3 linked regions of the Arabidopsis thaliana genome follow. The main gene of each other region encodes a partner of the protein of the gene in region 2 in a complex. Each region holds a gene or a part of one and is shown on either strand. Other genes may lie near its edges.

Region 1 (6,518 bases), on a different chromosome or scaffold from region 2:
ATAATGTTGTTGATTAGCTTTTCAAACAATCTCTCTATTTTGATGATATTTTTCATGACTTTATTTTTTTTAACGAAAAGCGTAGAAAGTCATAAACCAATAACACAATAATTTAATTCATTAACAATCATAAATTCTTTTATTTTATTTGAAACAAACTTTTAATGAATTTTTATAAAAGTATGAATCCAATAACTCTAAATTTATGAAGATTTTAGATTACTTTTTACAAATATTAAACTATTAACACCTAACTTTAACAAACTTTTTAAAAGTCTTGATTAAATAACAACAGATTCTCCACAATATTTTAAATTACTAAAACTCTATTTAAATCGGTAACCAATAACACGTATGTAATTCGTTCTTTTTTTTTATTTTTCTTTATAATATGGCTAAAGTCGGTTTCGGATCGGGGTATTCCTTATTAGAAACATATTCTTGATAGGAAAAGGGTGTTGGATTTTTGCTATATAAACGTGACCTTTGGTGTTGTTTAGAGCTCACAACATTCTTCTATTGAATACAAAAAATCAAAAAGCTTTTCAACTTTTAAACAGAGATCGATTAGGGTATAGATTATTATGGTGGCGAATCCTGGCCGTGGAGACCGTAGGAGAGGCGTTGGAACAATGGATGACTTCGAGACGACCAAAGGGGTCGATCCCATCGAGAGTTTCGAAGATATGGGCCTTAAAGAGGATGTTCTTCGTGGTTTATACGAGTACGGTTACGAGAAGCCCTCGGCCATTCAGCAGAGGGCGATCATGCCAATTCTCCAAGGGCGAGATGTTATTGCTCAAGCTCAGTCCGGTACGGGAAAGACCTCTATGATTGCTCTCTCCGTCTGCCAAGTCGTTGACACTTTCGTCTAGAGAGTACGTTTTCTCTTCCTCATACCCTAATTCCAATTTTAACTTTTCTGCCAAGTTATCTCCAAATTTATTCTCATCTTATTTGTTGGTATTTCTGATTGCAGGGTTCAGGCCTTGATATTATCCCCAACAAGAGAGCTGGCTTTCACAAACAGATAAGACGCATGCATGCATTGGTGGGAAGAGCCTCGGAGAAGACATAAGGAAGCTGGAGCATGGTGTCCATGTTGTGTCCGGAACACCTGGTCGTGTCTATGACATGATAAAGAGGAGAAGTCTAGGCACCAGAGCTATTAACCTTTTGATTCTTGATGAATCAGATGAAATGCTGAGCAGAGGATTCAAGGAACAAATCTATGATGTTTACAGATATCTTCCACCTGATATTCAGGTTTGCTTGGTTTCTGCAACTCTACCTCACGAGATTTTGGAGATGACAAGCAAGTTTATGACGGATCCGGTGAAGATACTTGTGAAGCGTGATGAGTTGACTCTTGAGGGAATTAAAAACTTTTTTATTTCTGTAGAGAAAGAGGAGTGGAAATTTGAGACAATATGTGATCTTTACGACACACTTATCATCACTAAAGCTGTTATCTTCTGCAACACAAAACGAAAAGTGGACTATATTAGTGAGAAAATGAGGAGCAGCAACTTCACTGTCTCATCAATGCATGGGGACATGCCTCAGAAGGAGAGAGACGAGATCATGAATCAGTTTCGGACAGGTGAAAGTCGCGTTTTGATCACAACAGATATGTTTGCACGTGGGATTGATGTGGATCAAGTTTCTCTTGTCATCAATTATGATCTCCCTAACAACCGTGAGCTCTACATTCATCGTATTGGACGGTCTGGTCGTTTCGGACGTAAGGGTGTTGCAATCAACTTTGTTAAAATCGACGAGATCAAGATTCTCCGGGACATTGAGCAGTACTACAGTACTCAGATTGACGAGTTGCCAAAGAATATAGCTGATTTGATCTAAAACACTTTTGTCAATGTGAAACTATCTTATGATTTGTAAATTACCTACCCGTTTGAATAATGACATCATAAAGTCTATTTAGAAAAAAATTCAAAGCAGAGTGATATTGTTCACATCGGTGAACGAATGATTCAATGTTCAAATAATCAAAGACGCATATCAATCAAATAATCAAGAACATGCACCAATTTCTATGGCCCACTACTGAAGATCTTTTTTTTGTTATGGAAAAAAAAAACCTAGCTCAACTATGAGGTGTAAATTATTCTTTGGACTAAATACATCTAACATCTCTAACATTAACCCAAAAATAAAAATATAACCAATGAAACAACATTCAGCGTGTAATCATCTAGTCACTGTTTAGCCTAGGAGTTGAGAATCTCCATCAATCAACATATCTTTCTCAGATGATTTGGTTTCATCATCAGCTTTCTCTTCCTCTCTAGATATAAACTCAAGCTGTCTTGATTTGAAAACTGCTGTCCTTTTCGATCTTATCCGATATGGAGGAGATAGATTGTAAGCATTTGATCCATTATTTTGAATCTCTGAACTATCCTTACCATCATTCACCTTTTGATCAACCTCTTTAGCTTCATCTGTTTTCTTGGCGTTGTTGTTATCCTGAACAACAACCCTGGGTCGTCTTTTCCTGAATATGGATGGTGTGTTTGGGTAAGTTCTACCAGCTTCTCTCAGGTAAGATTCAGGACTTCTTGGAGTCGAACCGTTACTGTGCACATTCCTACACGGCGGTGGAGTGAAGAAGCTAACTGGTGATGCGCTTGGACTGCAACCACATTCATTCCCATACATACGCTGCGTATCCACTTCTGACGCCCTGTAATAGTCTATTTGAGGCGTGTAGTACAGATGATAACCATTATTTGCAGCTCCACCATTCTCTGGCAATGGCTCTGGGTTAGGCAACTGAGGAGAACGAGCATACTCATTAAGACTAGTCATTCGTGAAGCAGCTACTACTTCTTCGACAGGAACAGATGAGTTTATTTGGCCATTTCCGTCTTCAGCGAGATTGTTTACATCTGTAGTTACTGATGAGGTTTGAGCAACTGAACCAAAAACCCTTTTCTGAGCAGACGATGAACGTTTGGTTACACTATCAGGAACACCATTCCTTGTTGTTGTTGGTGGTGGTAACCTACCAGTCAATAAGTAGAATTCTGACTTCTTTTTCAATGAACTATTCCAATGGTTCTTTATTGCATTATCAGTCCTGCAGCAAGTTTTAAGTAAAACCTTCATTAAACCCAGAAGCTAACCCTTCTCTAAAGTCTCAACTCCAATGACGCATGCCAAGAAAAGTAAAAATACCTGCCGGGTAAGACCTTAGCAATTTCAGCCCATTTGTTTCCGTGGCTTCGATGAGCATTCATGAGAGCTACTTCTTCCTCTGTGGTCCAAGCATCCTTGTTAATATCAGGATTCAAATGGTTATGCCACCTGCATACATATCAAAACACATTAAAGCTTCCAATATAACTATAAGAAAAATGCTTGGCTCATATGAATTAACTACCTCTCTCGGCATTGCTTCCCAATTCGACCTGGTAAAGACTGTGCGATAATAGACCATTTCGCAGGCCCGTATTTTTCAACCAGTTCAACGATTTTCTCATCCTCCTGCAAAACAACAAACTTTAAGCCTTCGTATTTCACATAAAAAATGAAGCCAAATAATAAATAAAATCAGAAACAGAATCAACCTCATGTGTCCAAGGTCCCTTAATAAGGTCTGGATTTAGAACTTTCTGCCACCGATGCAGGCATTGAACTTCAGTTCTATCAGGGAAAGATTTCGCTGCAAAAATGAATACACCAATTCAAACAATACTAAATGCTTCACGGAACAAAACGGAAACAAACGTAAAAGAAAGTCTTTCTACTAGATGCTCAGCCTCAGATGATCAAGTTAACATACAAGAGTAACTCATAAAACTACAGAGACAAGAGTATGGAACTAATAGTTACTGTAAGCAAGTAGGCTCCAACTTTAATATTCGAACCACAAATCTATGGAGTATGTTGTAGCACTGACATTACTCTTGTTAATATGAGAACTAGAATCTAAAAAGAAGAAGAGACTTACCTATGTTCTTCCAGCTCTTGCCTTTAAACGTGTCAACTGCTTGTCTCAATGTCTCATCCTGCATTAAGTAAAACAACTCACATCTTGAATTTCGAACTACTGATCCAAAATTGATATTGGTCAAAAGCAATCACTAGTCAATACTCAATACTAACCTCTTCCGGAGTCCACCCACCTTTGGCTCGCCTTATAGGGCCACTCGTCCTCCTGCATACCAAACACTATCAACATCAATCTCTTGTAGAAAAGATGCAAATTCGCAAACGAGTGCTGCGGAGGAGATACAAAACAAGGAAGAAGAAGAAGGAGACGAACTAACCCGAGGTACCTATGAGTAGGTGATACTGTGGCAGGACTTGCAATTGTAGGTGACTTGTGGGAACTACCAGCACTGCCTTCAGATACAGAAGAGCACGAAGCAGGTGTTGATTGCTTATTTTCTACACACTGATCCTCAATTTTCACTTCACCTGTTTCTTCCTGAAGATCCATCATCTCAATGAAAGAAAAAAAAGATCCAGACTTTGATAAGAAACAGAGAAACCCTAAAAAAGCAATCATCGTAAAACACAAAGCAGACAGAACCCAGATCTCACAAATCACGAATTCAGTAAACAGCTCAACATTAACACCAACCACAGCAAAATTAGGGTTTATAACAATTGTAATCACAAAAATTTATAGTTTCAATAAAGTTAAATTCGTTTCGAATCAGAGCCAAACAACAAAGAACTCAATTTCACTAGAATCTGATCACAAGAACAAAACCCTTAAAAATTCAGATTCGATACACAAAAACTAACCTCATCTGGAGAAGAAGCGGCTGGATTAAAAGTGGAGCTCATCGAGATAGATAGATACACGAATTCACCAGCAGAAGAAGAAGAAAGAAGGCGAAAGGAACGTTAAAAAAAAAACCAAAACTTTATTCGAAAAATACTTTGCCCGTTGAACCAGAGAGAGAGGGATAGAGAGAGAAAGAGAAGACTTGATCGAAACAAAGCGAGAAAATAAAACATAAAAAAGGGTTCCCTAAGTTTTATCTCTCTCTCTCTCACTATTATAACGAATACTTCTTCTGCTGACGTCACACCGTTACTTGCCGTTCTTTTTACCTTAAGTAACCTATTTTCTCCAAACCGAACTGATATTTATCCATAAGCACGAGTTGAATGTAATGCAATCTAATTCTGGTTAAAGCTGGTTCAGTAAAATAGACCAATTTAACGCCGTCGTTATCTTTTGGAAAGTGGAAAAGTCGTCAAGGTTAGAAGGTACACTAACGGACGTTAACGGTAGAGAGTTAACCTCAGAAACAGAAGTTTGAACCTCAAACGGCACTCGTAGCTGATCCGTTGACCACTGAACACGTATACGATGCCAAGCTTTGCAGGTGACTCTGGACCGTCGGATTTGGTTTGAGATGAACTTTATGATTCTTCTTAAATACTATCCTGTAAAACCAAGCTAGATGTAAGATCATCCGGACCGACACATTTTGTTTAAAATTGAATTTTCTGGTATTTGATTTTGGGAATTTTCATAAAAAGTCATCACTTTTGTTTCAGTTATATCTTTATAGAAAAATAAATTTAAAATACATTTAGCTCATCAAATAGGTGAGATAAGTTCAGTGATTGTTAGTTGTTATCTGATAGAAATTAGAATTATCATAAACAAGGAAAATAAAATTATCAAAATTAAATACATATAGATTTTATTAAATTAATTAAGTTAGTGGTTTTTCATTTCTTAGTCAGTACCACTTGAATTGTAAAAATAAATAGATCATTTGTGTGAACTTTTTTTTCTTTTAAATCTTAAATATTTGTTACTGATAATAAAGAATAAATTTAGTTGGGGTTCTCCTATATTAATGCAAATAAAATCAACTAATCCGGCAAAACAAAAGAAATTAAAACTCTTGTGTTTCACAATACATATCATCAATACAATCCAAAATCATTACCATCCTCTTCTTCTTCCTCGTCCTCTTCATAGAATTTCTCGCCGTTTTGAAAATCTGTCTTCATGTCGTATGATTCTACATTGCCTTCTTCTTCATCCTCTTCATCTTCATCTTCATTTTCACCATTCTCATGTTCATTACTCTTCATTTCCTTGTTCTCTTCCTTCTTCTTCTCAATGTCTGTCTCTGTTTTCGACCTCTTGGGTGATTTCTCAGGTGCCTGAAAGAAGAAAAGAGAAGCAAAATTGTAAAGACCTCAAAAAGTGATGAGAATTGAGGATACAAGAAGAGGTAATCAAAAACTTACGGATGTATCAAATAGCGACTCCAAAACATCGTAGTTGATCACCGAACTAAGTCTCTGTAAGAGTCAACACTCAAAATCAGGAAAAAGGAAGAAACACAGACTCTAAAGTTTCTTCAATGCTAATAATTTCGACAGCCATGTTGTTGACTATGTACTTCCAGGCCAGGTTTTTAACAGATGATACATGGCATACTCGGTTTATCTTTTTTTGCATATTCGTTTTCAAGTATCAAGGTATCAAAGAAGCTGACATTCTAACCTTTTTA
Region 2 (6,055 bases):
AGAGAGACAAAGGAAATTTTAGGTCACCTATAATAGTAGAAGACACTATTGAGAAAAGGGATTCAGACTTAAAGTTATTATTCGTAGAATTTAAGAGAGAATTGTTGTCTAGCTCTTTATCTTTTACTTTCTGGTTTTCCGTTCTGTACGTTCGGTTCTCTGTTCTGTATTTTCAGGTTTCTCATTCTGTACGTTCGGTTCTCCGTTTTGTCCTTTTGGTTCTCCATTATATATTTCCTGATTTTCCGTTATGTACTTTCGGTTCTCCGTTCTGCATTTTTGGTTTTTCGTTCTGTAATTTTATTGTTCTCCTTCATCGTTAATAAAAAATCTACTCCGTTCTCCTCAAACTCCTTAGTTACTTATTGTTAAAACCTCGGTACAAACATTACCAAGTTGTCCTCTGTCCAATTCCAACCTAGAAGAAACGTCAACATTGCATTTTTAAAGTTTGAATATGAGCCAAAAACAAAAACAAAAAAGGAGCAAAACTGACTTGGCGAGGTAGAAAATTTTTGTTCACTACCTCTTCTTCTATGATGTATCAACGAATCTGCTCTATACCTTCTCTTATTTGACAGGCTATATTTGAGTTTTGCTTCTATTCCAATAATGCTTAGCCATGATTTTCAACAATAAAATTACCATAAAAGTTTGTATATAAAAAAAAATCAAGAATCTCGGTCAAAACGATATTGTTGTAGTGAACTGAGCCATTTGTTTGGGAATCGTTTGAGATGGTAGTCAGCGGCAAAACGACGTTGTTCGATGTTCTTGATTTTTGAGTCGCTTTCAATCTTCTCGTGTGTGGGTGAGTTTATATAGCAGAATTATATCCAACAATGTATATTAGGAAAATTATCCTCTGAAAGGCATTCCTTTTTTTTTAGGGTACGTTTTACTGTTTTAGGCAGTTACTTCTAGGCAAGAGTTATGCCATTTAACGAAAAGTATTGCTTGGGATCCAAACAAGCACCATATTTAGGGATCCACCAAGATATCAATGTCCAATGTGGTCATGATTAACTCATGAATGACATCAAACATGATATGATCTAACTCATGAATGACATCAAGCTTTGTAAAGTTGATACTTCTTTTCCACAAGATATTTTTCTCTACTAGCGTTCAAGACTTCGAGCTTTGAAACTAAATGTAACAAGATGAGAGATTAACTAGTTTTCAATTTGGAACCATTCGTTTTTTGACATGATTCTGACAGAAGTAACGTTTGATATTGTCCAAATCAGGTGGTTCGTAAATGATGCTTTGTTTCTGTTTGAACATGCAAATTGTAACCTATGGACCCAAAGTGTCAAAAAGATTAATTTCAAAGTTCATTATAAACACATGTTACAAAAACAGATGTATGCATTGACATGCAAAAGGCCATTAAGTATAATTATATATCTAATTAGAGTACAAGTTTTTTCACATAATTGCCACATCCCTTGAATGACCTTAAAATATTGCATCTTTTATTTTTATAAGGAAAAAAATCTATTAGGATTTCAGGCTCAAAAGGGGTAGTAAAATGTAACAGAAAATTCATCCTCATCCTAGTAATTGGGAATTTGAGGTTTCAAACAACTTTGTTTCTCAGCTGTTGAAGTTGCTCCATAAATCTGTGAGGCTCACCTCTGCATCTGACTCGAACCAGTAATCTGCTTTTAACTGGCAATACACAACCAAAAATTCAACTTAATCGCAACATACGAAATGCGAGACTGATCCCAAAACCCATATCAGTGGATCTAAATACTTACATCAGTATCTGAAGTTACTATTTTCAAGGAAGGAGTGTCTACTCCAACTGGAGCTTTTTGATCAGACTCATTACCCAACTTGTCGCTTGTTTCCGCACTGTCTCCTTTGTATTTGCTGCGATCATGTTTGTTCCCAGTTATTAACACTGACTGACAAATATATAGATAAGACCAGACACAGAGAGTGGAATGTGTAACTAAGTACCTTAAAAGATAGACATCAATCGGCCCCATTCTACTCCTAATCACCATCCGGTACTGTTGCGGAAAACTCATCTATCGTGAACAAAAACAGATGCTTTACTTTGTGACACATTATATTACAACTGTACAGCAAATATGAAAGCATTAAAAACGCTCACCTCATCAGGATCTGGAACTTCGATGTAACTAGCTGTAGGAGCTTTAATTGCTAGTAATGTCTGGTTCTGTATAAGGACTACCAGTTTAGTATGTTAAATAACTGAGGAAAACATAAGATGATTTTCAAGAACTAGTTGGGGAGGACCTGAAACCGTGGGAGACTCGTTATATCTTCCTCCGTCATAAACATGTACCTGTTTATTTCCATCATTGATCTTAGCAACACTCTCGTGTATATACAAAAAGATGAAACTCAAATAAACTGACGAATACCTTCTACAGTAGTCATCTTCCTCCAAGGATCTGAGAGCTTCTTGTCGTTCCCTGGAGATACATAACATGATGATCTTCAAACCATGTGGGAAAGGAACAATGGATAAGTCTCCAAACATAATATAAGAACACAAGCAACCAACCTTATAAGATCATCCAACCTGCTTTCCTCAGATTGCATACTCTCTACTTCTGACTGAAAATACGTAGATATGTAACCGGTCAGTAATGGGGAATTTGAAAATAACTGTGTGAAATAAACTATAAGACAGAAAAATAATGAAATCATGAATTTGACAGATTATTTGCATAGCAGTAAGTTCTACGACAAAGAAAACACGTGAAAATGCTTGTCACAATGAACCTTAAGCCTAGAAATTTGATCTCCCAGGTCCTTTTGTCCAAGATTGTCAGCACCCCTGCATCAATAGCGCATACACAAAGTCAGACGAACTCAAGCTATATACGCTGCAATGTATCCAAGAAAGAAAAAATTTGTGTACTTACTTCCAGCGGATATGATTCTTTGTAGTTTTCTCTATCAATCCAATTCCTTCAAGGACATTTGTAATATCATATATCCTTCTTTTTTGTACCTGTTAAGAGGGATCGCAGGAACACGTAAGCACATAAGAGGAGATCCTAACAAGCTGATGAAGATAACTAGGGAGATATCAAACAGTTAAGGCAAGGGTTATAAAGGTGAGTGATCTTTTTAGTCCACGTTCTTAATTAGATCTTCTACGAGTTGAGACATACATTTTTAACTTAAATATTAAGATACATTTAGCATACCTCCAAAACAACTGCACAATAGTTAAGGTCAAGTGTTCCATCCTCAGCTTCCTGGATCAACTTCACGAATTTTTTTGTCAACAACCCTATCAAACAAAAGAGACACCGATACAATTACAGTTGTTATCTCCATACAAACATGAACCTTAGTAAACAGAACTATTAGTTACCTAAAGAACTGTCATAACGGCAGTTAATACTAGCTCCATTTAAGCCACCATTTTGCACTTCTGCACAAAAAAACTCATTCACAACAATGCTGAATACAAACAGATTCTTATTTTCAATACATATCACATTCTAAGAGCTAGCCAAAGAGATTGATCAGAAAAAGCAGATACCGCCATTCGCCATTCGTTTCCCAGCCTTTAACAGTTTAGTACCACCCTTTGACTTGTTGTATACACGTTTAACATTTTGAGGAGACGACTCTTGTTTCACTATTACTTTAGCTATATCTATGCTTTCTCCTCCAGACATGTTGGCAATAGATCCAAGCTGAATTCGATGATTCTTTCTACTCTTCTGCTGCAAATTAAGAAAAGATCAACTCAATAGCATTACAATCACCAAAACGAATCTAAATTCGCAAATTGAGATTAGAGAATTGAAAGCTAGAGATCCAATTTTGGATTAAGTTTCCCTTAATGAAACCAAACTTCATTCAATTTTTGTTTTCGCGAAATTTGGGAATCAGAATTAAACCTAGCTATCGCAAAATCAAGTTCGGAAATGGAATCAAAATCAAAGAAGGAATCTACGAGGACTTGAGTAAACGAAGAGACTCACAACTTTCTGAGTGATTTGAGAGTAAGAATCGTCCCAGTGAGGTGAAATTAGAGGAGACAGTTGTGAATTCGGAAGCGATTGAGAGACTGAGAAAGGTCGATTCGTTGAAGAAGGAGTTAGAGAAGAGTAACGAGGATCAGAGGAAGAGATAGATTGAAGTAATTCGAAGCGAAAAGGAGATCGGTGATGGTAAGAGAGAGTCGGATCTTCGCCTGAGTTTGATGTCGCGGCCATGTAACGGCGGTGTATCTCCGGTGGTAGAGAAGATGGGATTTAGAGTGATTTTTTGAAGCGATTTTGGAGAATCGTGATTTAGGTTTTTGTGGGGGAAGATGAAGAAGGAGAAGAGGGAAGATGGAGAAAAAGATGGAGAGAGAAGAGAGGAAACAGCGGGAAGAAGAGGAAGGGTAAAAGTGTCTTTTTGTTGTATTAAAAAGATTAATATAAGAAAGAAATATTGGAATTATGTTAAAAGAGCGGTGGGCGAAAGAAGTTGGAGAGAGTTTCGAATTCTGCCTAAGCCCCGCCTAACTTCTTCCGCTTATTATTTTACTCTTTTGACTATTTGTTGGGCTTGGTCTTGGGCTTGGTCTTGGGCTTGAATTGGGCTTAATAATGTTACGACGTTTACATATCTTCTAGAGCTTCATACTTTGTAGCTTTATGTTAATGATCGACATTCATGGTTCACGAATCTATAAATACGGAGTCTCGGCATTGCTAGATTGAGTTTACAGGGGAGTCCTAATCTCCGAGGTCCATCTGCACCAATAAACTCTATGAACGGCCCAAATTTGGTCCAGTTATCATACCAAAAAGTAGTTTAGAGTTCATGGTCTTTGCCAAAAGGTAGAAATTAGAATGAATTTCTAAACCCATGATTCATTTTGTTTCTCTGGTATCATTTTTCTAGCTTTTTTTCTTTAATATTTTCATAAAAACAATTGAAGAATGAAGAGTGCTTCTGCATAGTTGAGTACTTGAGTAAGTGATATCTAATTAATATCAAATTATGTGAAAATTATACCATCTTTTATGAAGTCGTACTATATATGTATATATGTTTTTTTGTCTATCTTAATATATGTTTATGGGTCTGATTGGTAACCAAAAGTTGTTAACTCTACTACAGGTATTAAGCTGTACAATAAACTAAGAGTAAAACTTTGTAACGCTTAGTACCGTTTTGTAAAGTGGTTACCAATCAAAACCTATATTAGGTTATAAGGAAGCGATGGGTGCATTGACGACAAACACACAAACTTGGTGTATAGCGCTACACAAGGGACTGTTTTTTTTTTCATTGTATTATTACCAATTGCATCATGTAACAAAAATAGGAATTCAAAATACTGAATTAATTAATCATGATTTTGAATAAACAAAACATATTAAAGGAATGTAAATATAATTGAGTTATTTCAAAGAGTTTTCGTATCGCATAAGTTTGATACCTTAACTTGTTTTCGTAAAACTGGACAAATATGACGAGAAAAAATCCCTTCATGATATCATGATGGCTTAAATCAACGTAATTTCCATTAGTTTAGATCTGAGAGACTGAAACATTGGTGTACCAAACAATGTAAAACACACATTTTCGTCCCTATGGCATGTGACAACTTTTTAGCCAAAAAAAAGAAAGAGTATTTTATTTAGAAAAATATTTGTGAAGACATATTATCCACATTTTTAAAATTTATTGTAGCCATGGATCAGAAAAATTATATTATATTTTAGTTTAACTGTGACAAACAAACAAAACAAGATTATCCATATAAATGTAAGTTCGTCTAGATATTCATACAGAAAAAGTTTGTCTAGTTGCATTTTTGTTGTCCTAAATTTCAAGTGCACTAACGCGAAATCTACTTCACTTGTCATGGTGCAGTAAGAAAAAAACAGTAAATAAAAAATGAAAAAAATATGGAAACACTAAAAAAGAATTTACAATAGTCGATAGCATTTTTATTTGTTTACTTTGGTTCCTTTTTTCTACTTTTATACAAAAGAAAAGGTGAGGAGGAATTTATAGCCTCTAAAAGTGATCTTACAAGTTATCTAACGTT
Region 3 (9,377 bases), on a different chromosome or scaffold from region 2:
CCTATATGCAGATCCTTTGATTGTTTAAGTCAAACTTTTGGTACTTCTTATTTTTAGTTTGCATGCAATAACCATTTATCCTTTGTCTGCAGTCTTTTTGCTGCTAAAGCTGGGGCTTCAAGGGTAGTTGCAGTTGAAGCTAGTGAGAAGATGGCCAAAGTTGCAACTAAGGTTACCTTTTTTTCTACTTGTTACAAGATTTTCATTATTTCTTTTTTCCTCATAGATATCAATTATTTACCTGGTTTCTAGCAGATTGCGAAGGATAACAAAGTATTCAATGATAACGAGCATAATGGGGTACTTGAAGTTGCACACTCAATGGTAGAAGAGCTAGATAAATCGATACAGATTCAGCCTCATAGTGTTGATGTGTTAGTCAGCGAATGGATGGGATACTGCCTTTTATATGAGTCAATGCTCAGTTCTGTGCTCTATGCAAGAGATCGGTGGTTGAAACCTGGAGGTGCAATCCTCCCTGACACGGCCACTATGGTAAAGCTTATCTTTTGCCCTTCAAATGTTGTCTTTTTCATGAAATCATCTTGATGAGTTTTATCCCTTGTTTTCTCCTTGGATCAGTTTGTTGCGGGATTTGGAAAAGGTGCAACAAGTCTTCCTTTCTGGGAAGATGTCTATGGCTTTGACATGTCTTCAATTGGGAAGGAGATACATGACGACACTACTCGACTTCCCATTGTTGACGTTATAGCGGAGCGTGATTTAGTGACACAGCCTACCCTTCTTCAGGTTTGAAAGATCACACATTATTTGGTTTCGCCAGGAAAAACTTTGAAATTAATTTCCTTGAATTTCTTTGTTTCTAGACATTTGACCTGGCTACCATGAAACCGGATGAAGTAGATTTCACAGCAACGGCAACGCTGGAGCCCACTGAGTCAGAAGCAAAAACTAGGTTGTGCCATGGTGTTGTGTTGTGGTTTGACACAGGTTTCACCAGTAGGTTCTGTAAGGAAAACCCAACCGTACTATCCACATCACCCTACACTCCCCCAACACACTGGGCTCAGACAATCTTAACTTTTCAAGAACCAATCTCAGTGGCACCGGCCTCGGTTCTGTCTGGTAATGACAGAAGAGAAGCCATCGGAACCGAAGAGTGTCCCGCCTCAAGCATTCATCTGCGTGTGAGTGTTGCACGAGCACATGAGCATCGCAGCATAGACATCTCGTTAGAGGCTACTGGGCTGAGCTCAAAGGGTCAGAAGCGTCACTGGCCGGTTCAGATATTTAATCTATGAATGTGATTGTAGCCATTGTAACACTCTTTTCTGGCAAATTTGCTGAGGATTTTTTCATAAGTTGCAAGGTTGTTTTAAATTTAACCTATTGAGAAAGTTTTGAGAAATATGCTGGAGTAGTAAGTTATTCTGAAATCGACATAAAGTGTTGTTTTGCGGCGTAAATTTATAGAGAGCTAAAAAGGTAAGACAGACAATTGTTCAGACAATTTGTTGGTTATAGTTAATTGCTTAACTGTACTGTATATGTTCCAAGTTAAGTAAATGTCACAAATTGTTTTTTTTTAAAGTGGAAAATAAATTTAGTAGATGGGACACCGAACACAGTTAGAAAGAGTGAACAAGAAAAAGACATTTATTAATGCTTATTAAGACTGACTTAACTAAGATAAAAAAAGAAAAAAGAAACAATAAAGGGATCCATCCGCTCATAGCCTGAGGTGATCACTATAAACTAGAAAGCTAAACATAAAAGCAAACTCTGCAACATAAGGATTTACAGATGCTATAACTGAAGAGAAGTTGGTGTAGCAAGTAGAGAGAGATATCTATGAATCTGTTGGCTCGGTTTTAAGGGGTGCGGCACCACCTGAGGACGATGCATCGCTTCCATTTTGGTTTTGATTTTGGTTTTGGAGGTTAAGGCTATTTGCTACCATGGAATCGCTGACCATCCCTGCTTCTGCGTCAAAGTTTAGCGTCCTCTTGCGGTTGCTGCTGCTGCTGTGACACCAGATGAAATTGGATTGGGTCAGTGATTGGTTTTATGGAAGAAGCTGATGAGAGACGTGATTTTTCTACTTACTTGTTCAAGCGGTTGTTGATGGCAGATAGGTCCTTTGAAGGGCTCTGGTAAGCATGTGTACTCTCTCCAACACAAGCATAGTAACTCTTTGTACTGTGTGAAATAAGAGCATCCATCTGCAAACACACAACACATGGAAGGTAACCAAACAATCTTGTCACCTACCTCCTCCTCAAGACTTAGTCATATCATGATAAAGAGTTAAGCACTATGATCTTCTTTACCTTTGATCCCCGAAGAGGAGAAACATAAACATTGTGCACTGCAGATACTTTTTTAGGGGACATGTCTGGAACACTTGGAAACACAGACACCTTTGGCGATCCGGGACATTGACCTGTGAATCCAAAATAAGACGATCATTTAACTTAGGGACTAAATTGATAGACAAAGCTTACATCTAACAAGTATCTGGCCTTTCTTAACTACCTTCAGGCTTATTATTGGCTTCCACAGCCCGGTCGTTTCTTACAGGACCTAGCTCCACCAGCAGCGGCTTTACGGCAGGAATAAATATTTCATTGTAGAATGTGATGATGTCAACATGATCTGGCCCTATTCTCTGTTCAAGTCATTGTCACAAATTTAGTCTTCTCCACCGAGTAAAGAAACTTTTCAGCATAAGGTTAAGAGTGTATATATACCCCTTGACGGCGACATTGTAACGCATCCACATAAACGCTGCGGAAAACTAATGGTTTACACTGTGGTTGCTTCCGGTAGTTGTATATGATTTCCCTGAAAGTCAGGCTCATTTGGGATATCTACAAGGTGATTCATGGAAAAAGTGTAAGTGTAAGAGAAGCCATTGTAAACCAGATGACATATAGTTAAACCCTTTGAATCACACTACTCACCTTGGCCACTCCGTAGAAGCAACAGAGAATGATCTGGTCAATGTGTCGACTGAATAAAAGAGAAGTCCGCTGAGCAAGTACATGTTGGAAGAAACAATACACACTCTCCCTTATTTGCTGTGAAAGTTGTAGTCTTTCCACCATTCCATTGATTCTTACAGCAGCCAATTTATTAATCTGGGAAGAGCCACCACATTTAACACAATTCCCAGCCGAAAATGAAGAATCAATACCGTGTTTTGTAGTACATCATCTAACCAAACGATTAGTAGTAGATCCAAAGATCTCACAGACCTACCTTTGTGAAGAAAATATTGATTCCAGTTTCTGCACAAGTTTCTCCTCCACCTCCTGGGTTGGGCCGTGTTGGGCTGTAGACATAAATCCGAAGAGGTTACTTAACAAGTACAGGGACAACTAGATAGGTAAACTAACTCTCCATTTCTACTCATAGTTACTCAAAATGTACCTGGCAAATGCAGACTGCAACGGAGGTGGCAGCATCTTGGATTTAACGTTGCCTAAGGCCAACAGACGATCCTTTACTGGTGATGTAAAGGAATTGCGTTCAACTAGAATGCTGCGGTAATCAGTACATAATCTTTTGGGCGATCTAATCCCCCCATTTTGTCCTATATGGCAGCAAATTTGACAATTTTTGGTAAGAAAATCATACCATTAACAACAGGTTGGAAAACTGCTTTAATTCAGAAACAAATAAAACTACCTGGACAAGTTTCATGCTTTTGTACAGATGATGCATGATTTGCTCCGTCAGAGAAATTAATAAGTGCTGCGATTGCATCCAGAGATGGCATTGGTTCAGCTAGTAAACCGAGCTGATTTATCTCCAATGCAAGCGATGGCCTGGCAACAATCAGAGAATTGTACATTGAAGAGCCTTTCTCCCATACCATACTCTCTAGAAGCCGTTCCTCCAGTGAATTCAGATGTCGTCTCAACTCTCTAGGCAGAGAATCTTCATGTCGTATGAAACTCTCAATTACCTTGCTGAGATCAAAGGCTGTGATCCCAGTCCTCTCCAGAACAGCTGGGAACAACATTGTAATTGTTTTGTGGGTAGCCAGTACCAATTCAGCTGAGCAAGCAAGCATGCATCTATGGAACCTCTCATTTGTCAATAAAGAGTTCAGATTATTTGCATGCAAAATCTGAGCTTCTGCTTTACACATTGCCTCAAGAACTCTGTAGTATAACTTACAAGCTTCTAATCTGCGCTGCTCTGCCCATATGTCATCCATCAGGTCAACAGCTTGCAAACTTCCACCTCCACATTGGGCACCAAGGGAACTATTTGGGAAAATAGCTTCCAATATTATGTGTGCTCTTCGTGTGACGTCATTTGTTATATCCCTATCACATGATTTAAGGAAATGTTCCAACCCAGGAGAAGGTTTTGGCAGAAGCGGGGATATGACAGTCCTGAGCCACTTGGCAGTTGTCATTGCTGTGCTCACTGGTGTTGCTGCCAACTTGGTAGCACCGCTAATACCATTTGTCTTAGCAGCAGGCGACTTATGAGGAGAAAGTGGGCTTATAAATGTCCTTGCAGGTGAGCTCAAAGCATCAATTTTCCTCTTAACACCAGTAATATTAACAGCTCCTGCAGATAAGCTTCCAGATCCAAGTAAGCTATCCTCTTCATTGATGAATACCCTCTCATCAAGTTCGCCTTTACCATCATAGTAATCCTTTTCAAGTGTAATTAAGCTAGTTGAGATGGACGTCTCTTCCAGTAAATCCTCAAAGTAGGTCAAGCCATCTGCAGTAAAACACCATATAGATTCGAAGAACAATCAGGCAACTGTTCAATGAACTCACATGATTCTTTAATTGAAGAAGGAAAATGATTTTAGACCAACCTGGGTCAATATTATCTAGCTTGTCAGTTTGGCACTCAGATGCTGGAGATGGCTTTTTCTTCAGTATGGTTTCTACCAAATTATTTGCCTTGTCAATTACTATCCTCAACTCATCTTCTGAGGCGTCATATATCTTGCAAAGTGATGCAACCAAGTCTACACCTTTGTCACCTTTCTTAACTGAGATTCATCACATAAATGAAAATAGATGATAAACATTCTATGGTGCCATGGTTATCGGGATAGAAGAAAAGATAAACACTCACCAAAGCGAGAAGAATCTTGGATGCTGAAATTTCTAAACCGACAAGGAACATGTATGATCAAAATAGCCTGATAACATGAAAAGGAGTTAGCCTATACTTCAATTGCGTTATATTAAACGAAGCATCTTTCAAGTAATAATGTACAGCAAGACTAAAATGAATGAAAGATTAGGGAGAGCTCCACAGGTAGTCACTAACCAATATAGAAACTACGCCATTTGAGCATGTCACGAGGTCCTTAAATCGACTAAACGCATGGTTTCGGAGTGCCAAAAAGAGTAGCCATCCAAAACGATAACTATCCAGCAAATAGGTAGAAGAGTTTGCTGAGTTCTTTTCTGCGTTTGCATCATATGTCAAAAAGAATTCCCGGAACCCACGTTTGTAGTATCTGTTACCAAGGAAAGGTACCAAAAACATCATACTTTAACATGTCCTTAAAACAATTCACAGAATATAATCACATGAAAACCAGAAATCTGTAACTCTAAATCTTAATTAATTTAAAATTGAAGGAATATTGCAAGCCCATATTCTGATTATTGCATAGGAAGAAAATTTGCTTCTAAGTTGCAGGTCCAAAATATGAAATCTATGTCAATAACTATTCTTACACAAAACAAAGATAAATGTAAAATAGGAAGGGAGCTAAACTCACTTGCTTAGAAGGCTAAGATGCACAAAGTTAGCCTGCACCTCCTTTGCCTAGTAAGTAAAAATTAGTTAATAGAAGCATATTTAACAATGATATAATAGAAGTAGAAGTATATTTAAAAGATGTTAGTCAAAACCTGAAGTCTGTTCTCCCAGTCTGCGCCGTAAAGTTCACCCAGTACAGATCCAGCCTTGACCACAAACTGAGGTAACTCTTTAAAAAAATCCACAATACTATAAACAGAAAAGAGGAAAATCGTCACTACAAATGAATTTAAGAATGACAAGGAAGGAAGAATTGAACACTACTTACTTTAGCTTCAGAGCCCTCAGTATCTGACATAGATTAAACTCATTATCACCAGACACTGACAGACCATCCGCTTCTTTTCTCACACTAAGCCTCTTCACTGAATAGAGAATAAACGCAAACCAGAACCTCTCTACTTCTTCCCGCTAATAAGAAGAAGAAAAAAGGATTTAGTCATAATGAAACCACAGTTAACTGATAAAAGAGAAGTTAGAGGAAAAATGTATTTCACCGTTCCACTTCCAATGTTAGACATGCTTGCTGACAAAATTCGTTTGGTTTCTGTAAACAACTTCAAAGCTTCATCGCAAGTGCTCCCATCAAGAGACAGAACTTTCTGCAATAAGAAATCAACTACAGGGATTAGAGCTAGTCCTCAAAATTTCCGAGAGAACTCAAATGGTATCTTCAACTAAACAAATGCAACTAGATCAGCAAAGAGAAGAGTAAACCTCGCATATGTCCAAGAGAGAGGCTTCGCTTCTTTTCCCATTTGGTTCAATGGGCGGGGTCACTGGAGGCTGAACTTCTTCCATAGTCTCCAACGCAGCTGAAAACATGCAAAATCAAGCTAATTTTACTTCCAATTAAACTGCTAACTGAAGACGAAGAAAAAGGGACTTTTCAAGCAAAGAGATTTGTTAATTTAATCACACTGAAATTCAATAGGAACCATGCCCAACCCATTCGGAAGAACACACTAACAGACATGAGAAAACAAACTCCCAATTTCCCAAAACATGGCAGAAAGACAAAATTTGGGGGAAAAAAAGAAGAGAAATTGGGGCATAATCTAAAACCCACCACTCCGGAAAAATTTTACCCAGATGTTATCTTAAATATTCATTCAAAGTTTTTCTCTTTTTTGTTTTTGGAGAATTCTCTCACCAACTTACAATCGAATAGCGAAATATCAATAGAAAATTTCAGATAAACCACCTAGAGGATAAGATTTCAAATCAAAGGATAGGCAATAGAGAAAGATCTTACCTTTTTGTGTCACAGATCCCAATACCAGACGTCGCCGATTAAAGCCTGAGCAGAAGATCTGATTTTTAAGAAGCCCGACTTCTAACGCCTCCTCCAAAAAATTCGACAAATTCAGAGGAATCACAGAGATCTCCGAAAACCCTACAAATTTTCCCTCCTCTCAGTGTCTCTCTCTATCTTCACCTGACTTCCCTCTTCTCTCTCTAGAATGGGGTCTGATTATGCGGCAAACCCTAAAAAAGGATATATCTCGCGCGGGAAAAACAACACGGAGAATACATACACATACGTATACAATTATATTCGCGCGCTTTCAACCACTATTAAATCGACACGTACCCATCTGTGACCCAATTTTACCGCCAAAACTTACTTACTGTTGCGTGAAACGCTGAGAGGGAAAGATTCGCCGTCACGGCGGGGTCGAAACAAACGGAGTGGGCCATTAACGCCGTCTGGGTTTTCGTGACCGCGACAAAGCCTCGTGTGAGTTATGATTGGGCCCACCCTTAATACGATGCCGTTTCTAGTTTAGGTCACGCGGGAAATTACATATTTGCCATTGTAGAACGTTTGGTTGCAGAAGTATGAGTGTCCTATCCGCGGATGGATTCAGATTAAGTCTTCTTCGTCATCTTCGAGTGTGAGTGGATCCAGAGAGAGAATTAGATATTTCCGACACGAGGCAAATTCCTAGTGGCTCATGGCGTCATCATCTGATCACACGGCGAAGATAATCGACGGCAAGGCGATTGCTCATACCATCAGATCAGAGATCGCCGAGGAAGTTCGCGGTCTATCTGAGAAACACGGCAAGGTAAACGCATCTTATGAATCAGTGTCCTAATCTTGACATGTCTCTCCTTATAATTCTCCGTTCTTTTATAAGATGATAGCACTATTGAAAATTTACTCTCTTTTAGCTTTATGGTTTAAAATGACTAGATTTAAGCAGCTATGATCACAACCTTCTATTGAAAATGCTTAACAGGGTCAAATGTAAGCTCCATTTTAGTTAGATCACTGTTATTTTGTTTCGCTGGATTTTTGAGCTGCCTGCATTACTTCAAGTGGCATACTATCTTATTTATACAGATAGTGTGTGCTAAGCTTATAATGTTTGATATCATTGTAATAAAATAGAAGGAACGAGAGTATGTGTAATAAATGGTTTAGTGCGTTTGTTCAGTTGCTTCAGTTGGACCCCTTTATATAGTTTCAAGAATGTACGAGATTCAATCGAATCTGATTTTACCTTCATGCAGGTCCCAGGACTAGCTGTAGTTATTGTTGGGAGCCGAAAGGATTCACAGACCTATGTGAATACGAAGAGGAAAGCGTGCGCTGAGGTTGGGATTAAGTCATTTGACGTGGGCCTACCAGAGGAAGTTTCTGAAGCTGATCTTATTAGCAAAGTTCATGAACTAAATTCAAATCCGGATGTCCATGGTTAGTTGTGGCGGTAAATAATACTTGATTTTGTATGTCTTCTCGGTTATCATTAGTCTAAACTATTAAGGATAGATAGAAACTTTAATGTCTATGCAAGTCTTTCGTTTTGGTATAAAGCAAACATTCCTTGCTCTCCTGTGCTTATATAAGCTTTGGTGTTTGATTTGCAGGCATATTAGTTCAACTCCCATTGCCGAAACATATTAATGAGGAGCATATATTGGGTGCAATCAGCATTGATAAAGATGTCGATGGCTTCCATCCTTTGAATATTGGTAAGCTAGCCATGAAAGGCAGAGAACCCCTCTTCCTTCCTTGCACCCCAAAGGTACTTCTCCTTTTTTTGCATATAGACTTCAGTCTCTTTCAAGCGAGAAATCTCAGTGTTCTGTTTTTCTTCTGTATCAACTATGAGGTGATTTTCTGTGTGTGCAGGGATGTTTGGAACTCCTAGCTAGAAGCGGCGTAAAGATAAAGGGGCAACGAGCAGTTGTTGTAGGTCGGAGTAACATTGTTGGTTTGCCCGTTTCACTTCTTTTGCTCAAGGCTGATGCTACTGTCACAACTGTACATTCTCACACCAAGGATCCTGAGGCTATCATACGGGAAGCTGACATTGTTATTGCTGCATGCGGACAAGCCCACATGGTGATTTTCATACATTTTCATTGTCATTTAGAAGATAATTTAGTCTACCTCTTGTAGATCAATGTGAATAGTTTACAATTCAAATATACTATCGTTTTGACATTTCAGATTAAGGGCAACTGGATAAAGCCAGGGGCTGCAGTAATTGATGTTGGAACTAATGCAGTCAGCGACCCGAGCAAGAAATCAGGATACCGGTTGGTTGGAGATGTTGATTTCGCAGAAGCTTCAAAAGTTGCAGGTTTCATAA

The links.
Region 1: ATE2F2 (region 2) and MYB3R-3 share a complex: the UniProt entries of both Arabidopsis thaliana proteins name them as parts of the DREAM-like complex.
Region 3: ATE2F2 (region 2) and RBR1 share a complex: the UniProt entries of both Arabidopsis thaliana proteins name them as parts of the DREAM-like complex.

Annotation. Positions count from the first base shown.
Region 1 is NC_003074.8:2,877,837-2,884,354, reverse strand, and holds MYB3R-3 (myb domain protein 3r-3), read right to left. Parts: upstream 5,003-6,518; 5' UTR 4,822-5,002; coding exon of another isoform or gene 4,780-4,821; 5' UTR 4,538-4,779; coding exon 4,296-4,537; intron 4,184-4,295; coding exon 4,132-4,183; intron 4,035-4,131; coding exon 3,977-4,034; intron 3,689-3,976; coding exon 3,594-3,688; intron 3,511-3,593; coding exon 3,407-3,510; intron 3,331-3,406; coding exon 3,202-3,330; intron 3,104-3,201; coding exon 2,227-3,103; 3' UTR 2,000-2,226; downstream 1-1,999. Other genes in the region: AT3G09360 (Cyclin/Brf1-like TBP-binding protein), read right to left, coding at 5,923-6,165, 6,253-6,306, 6,512-6,518. UniProt on the Arabidopsis thaliana protein: Transcription factor that binds 5'-AACGG-3' motifs in gene promoters. Transcription repressor that regulates organ growth.
Region 2 is NC_003070.9:17,633,102-17,639,156, reverse strand, and holds ATE2F2 (winged-helix DNA-binding transcription factor family protein), read right to left. Parts: upstream 4,461-6,055; 5' UTR 4,221-4,460; coding exon 3,987-4,220; intron 3,726-3,986; coding exon 3,539-3,725; intron 3,428-3,538; coding exon 3,368-3,427; intron 3,284-3,367; coding exon 3,198-3,283; intron 2,999-3,197; coding exon 2,910-2,998; intron 2,822-2,909; coding exon 2,767-2,821; intron 2,599-2,766; coding exon 2,546-2,598; intron 2,454-2,545; coding exon 2,403-2,453; intron 2,324-2,402; coding exon 2,275-2,323; intron 2,195-2,274; coding exon 2,129-2,194; intron 2,043-2,128; coding exon 1,972-2,042; intron 1,882-1,971; coding exon 1,767-1,881; intron 1,675-1,766; coding exon 1,600-1,674; 3' UTR 1,348-1,599; downstream 1-1,347. UniProt on the Arabidopsis thaliana protein: Involved in transcriptional repression. May act by repressing E2F-regulated genes in mature differentiated cells, but is not an antagonist of E2FA.
Region 3 is NC_003074.8:3,911,861-3,921,237, forward strand, and holds RBR1 (retinoblastoma-related 1), read right to left. Parts: upstream 7,500-9,377; 5' UTR 7,028-7,499; intron 6,588-7,027; 5' UTR 6,574-6,587; coding exon 6,490-6,573; intron 6,375-6,489; coding exon 6,270-6,374; intron 6,184-6,269; coding exon 6,041-6,183; intron 5,962-6,040; coding exon 5,865-5,961; intron 5,779-5,864; coding exon 5,732-5,778; intron 5,465-5,731; coding exon 5,272-5,464; intron 5,141-5,271; coding exon 5,074-5,140; intron 4,988-5,073; coding exon 4,808-4,987; intron 4,708-4,807; coding exon 3,652-4,707; intron 3,557-3,651; coding exon 3,394-3,556; intron 3,296-3,393; coding exon 3,223-3,295; intron 3,102-3,222; coding exon 2,925-3,101; intron 2,832-2,924; coding exon 2,712-2,831; intron 2,630-2,711; coding exon 2,497-2,629; intron 2,405-2,496; coding exon 2,292-2,404; intron 2,184-2,291; coding exon 2,068-2,183; intron 1,986-2,067; coding exon 1,811-1,985; 3' UTR 1,489-1,810; downstream 1-1,488. Other genes in the region: PRMT3 (protein arginine methyltransferase 3), read left to right, coding at 93-171, 256-495, 583-750, 828-1,262; AT3G12290 (Amino acid dehydrogenase family protein), read left to right, coding at 7,731-7,844, 8,293-8,476, 8,650-8,807, 8,915-9,127, 9,236-9,377. UniProt on the Arabidopsis thaliana protein: Key regulator of entry into cell division. Acts as a transcription repressor of E2F target genes, whose activity is required for progress from the G1 to the S phase of the cell cycle.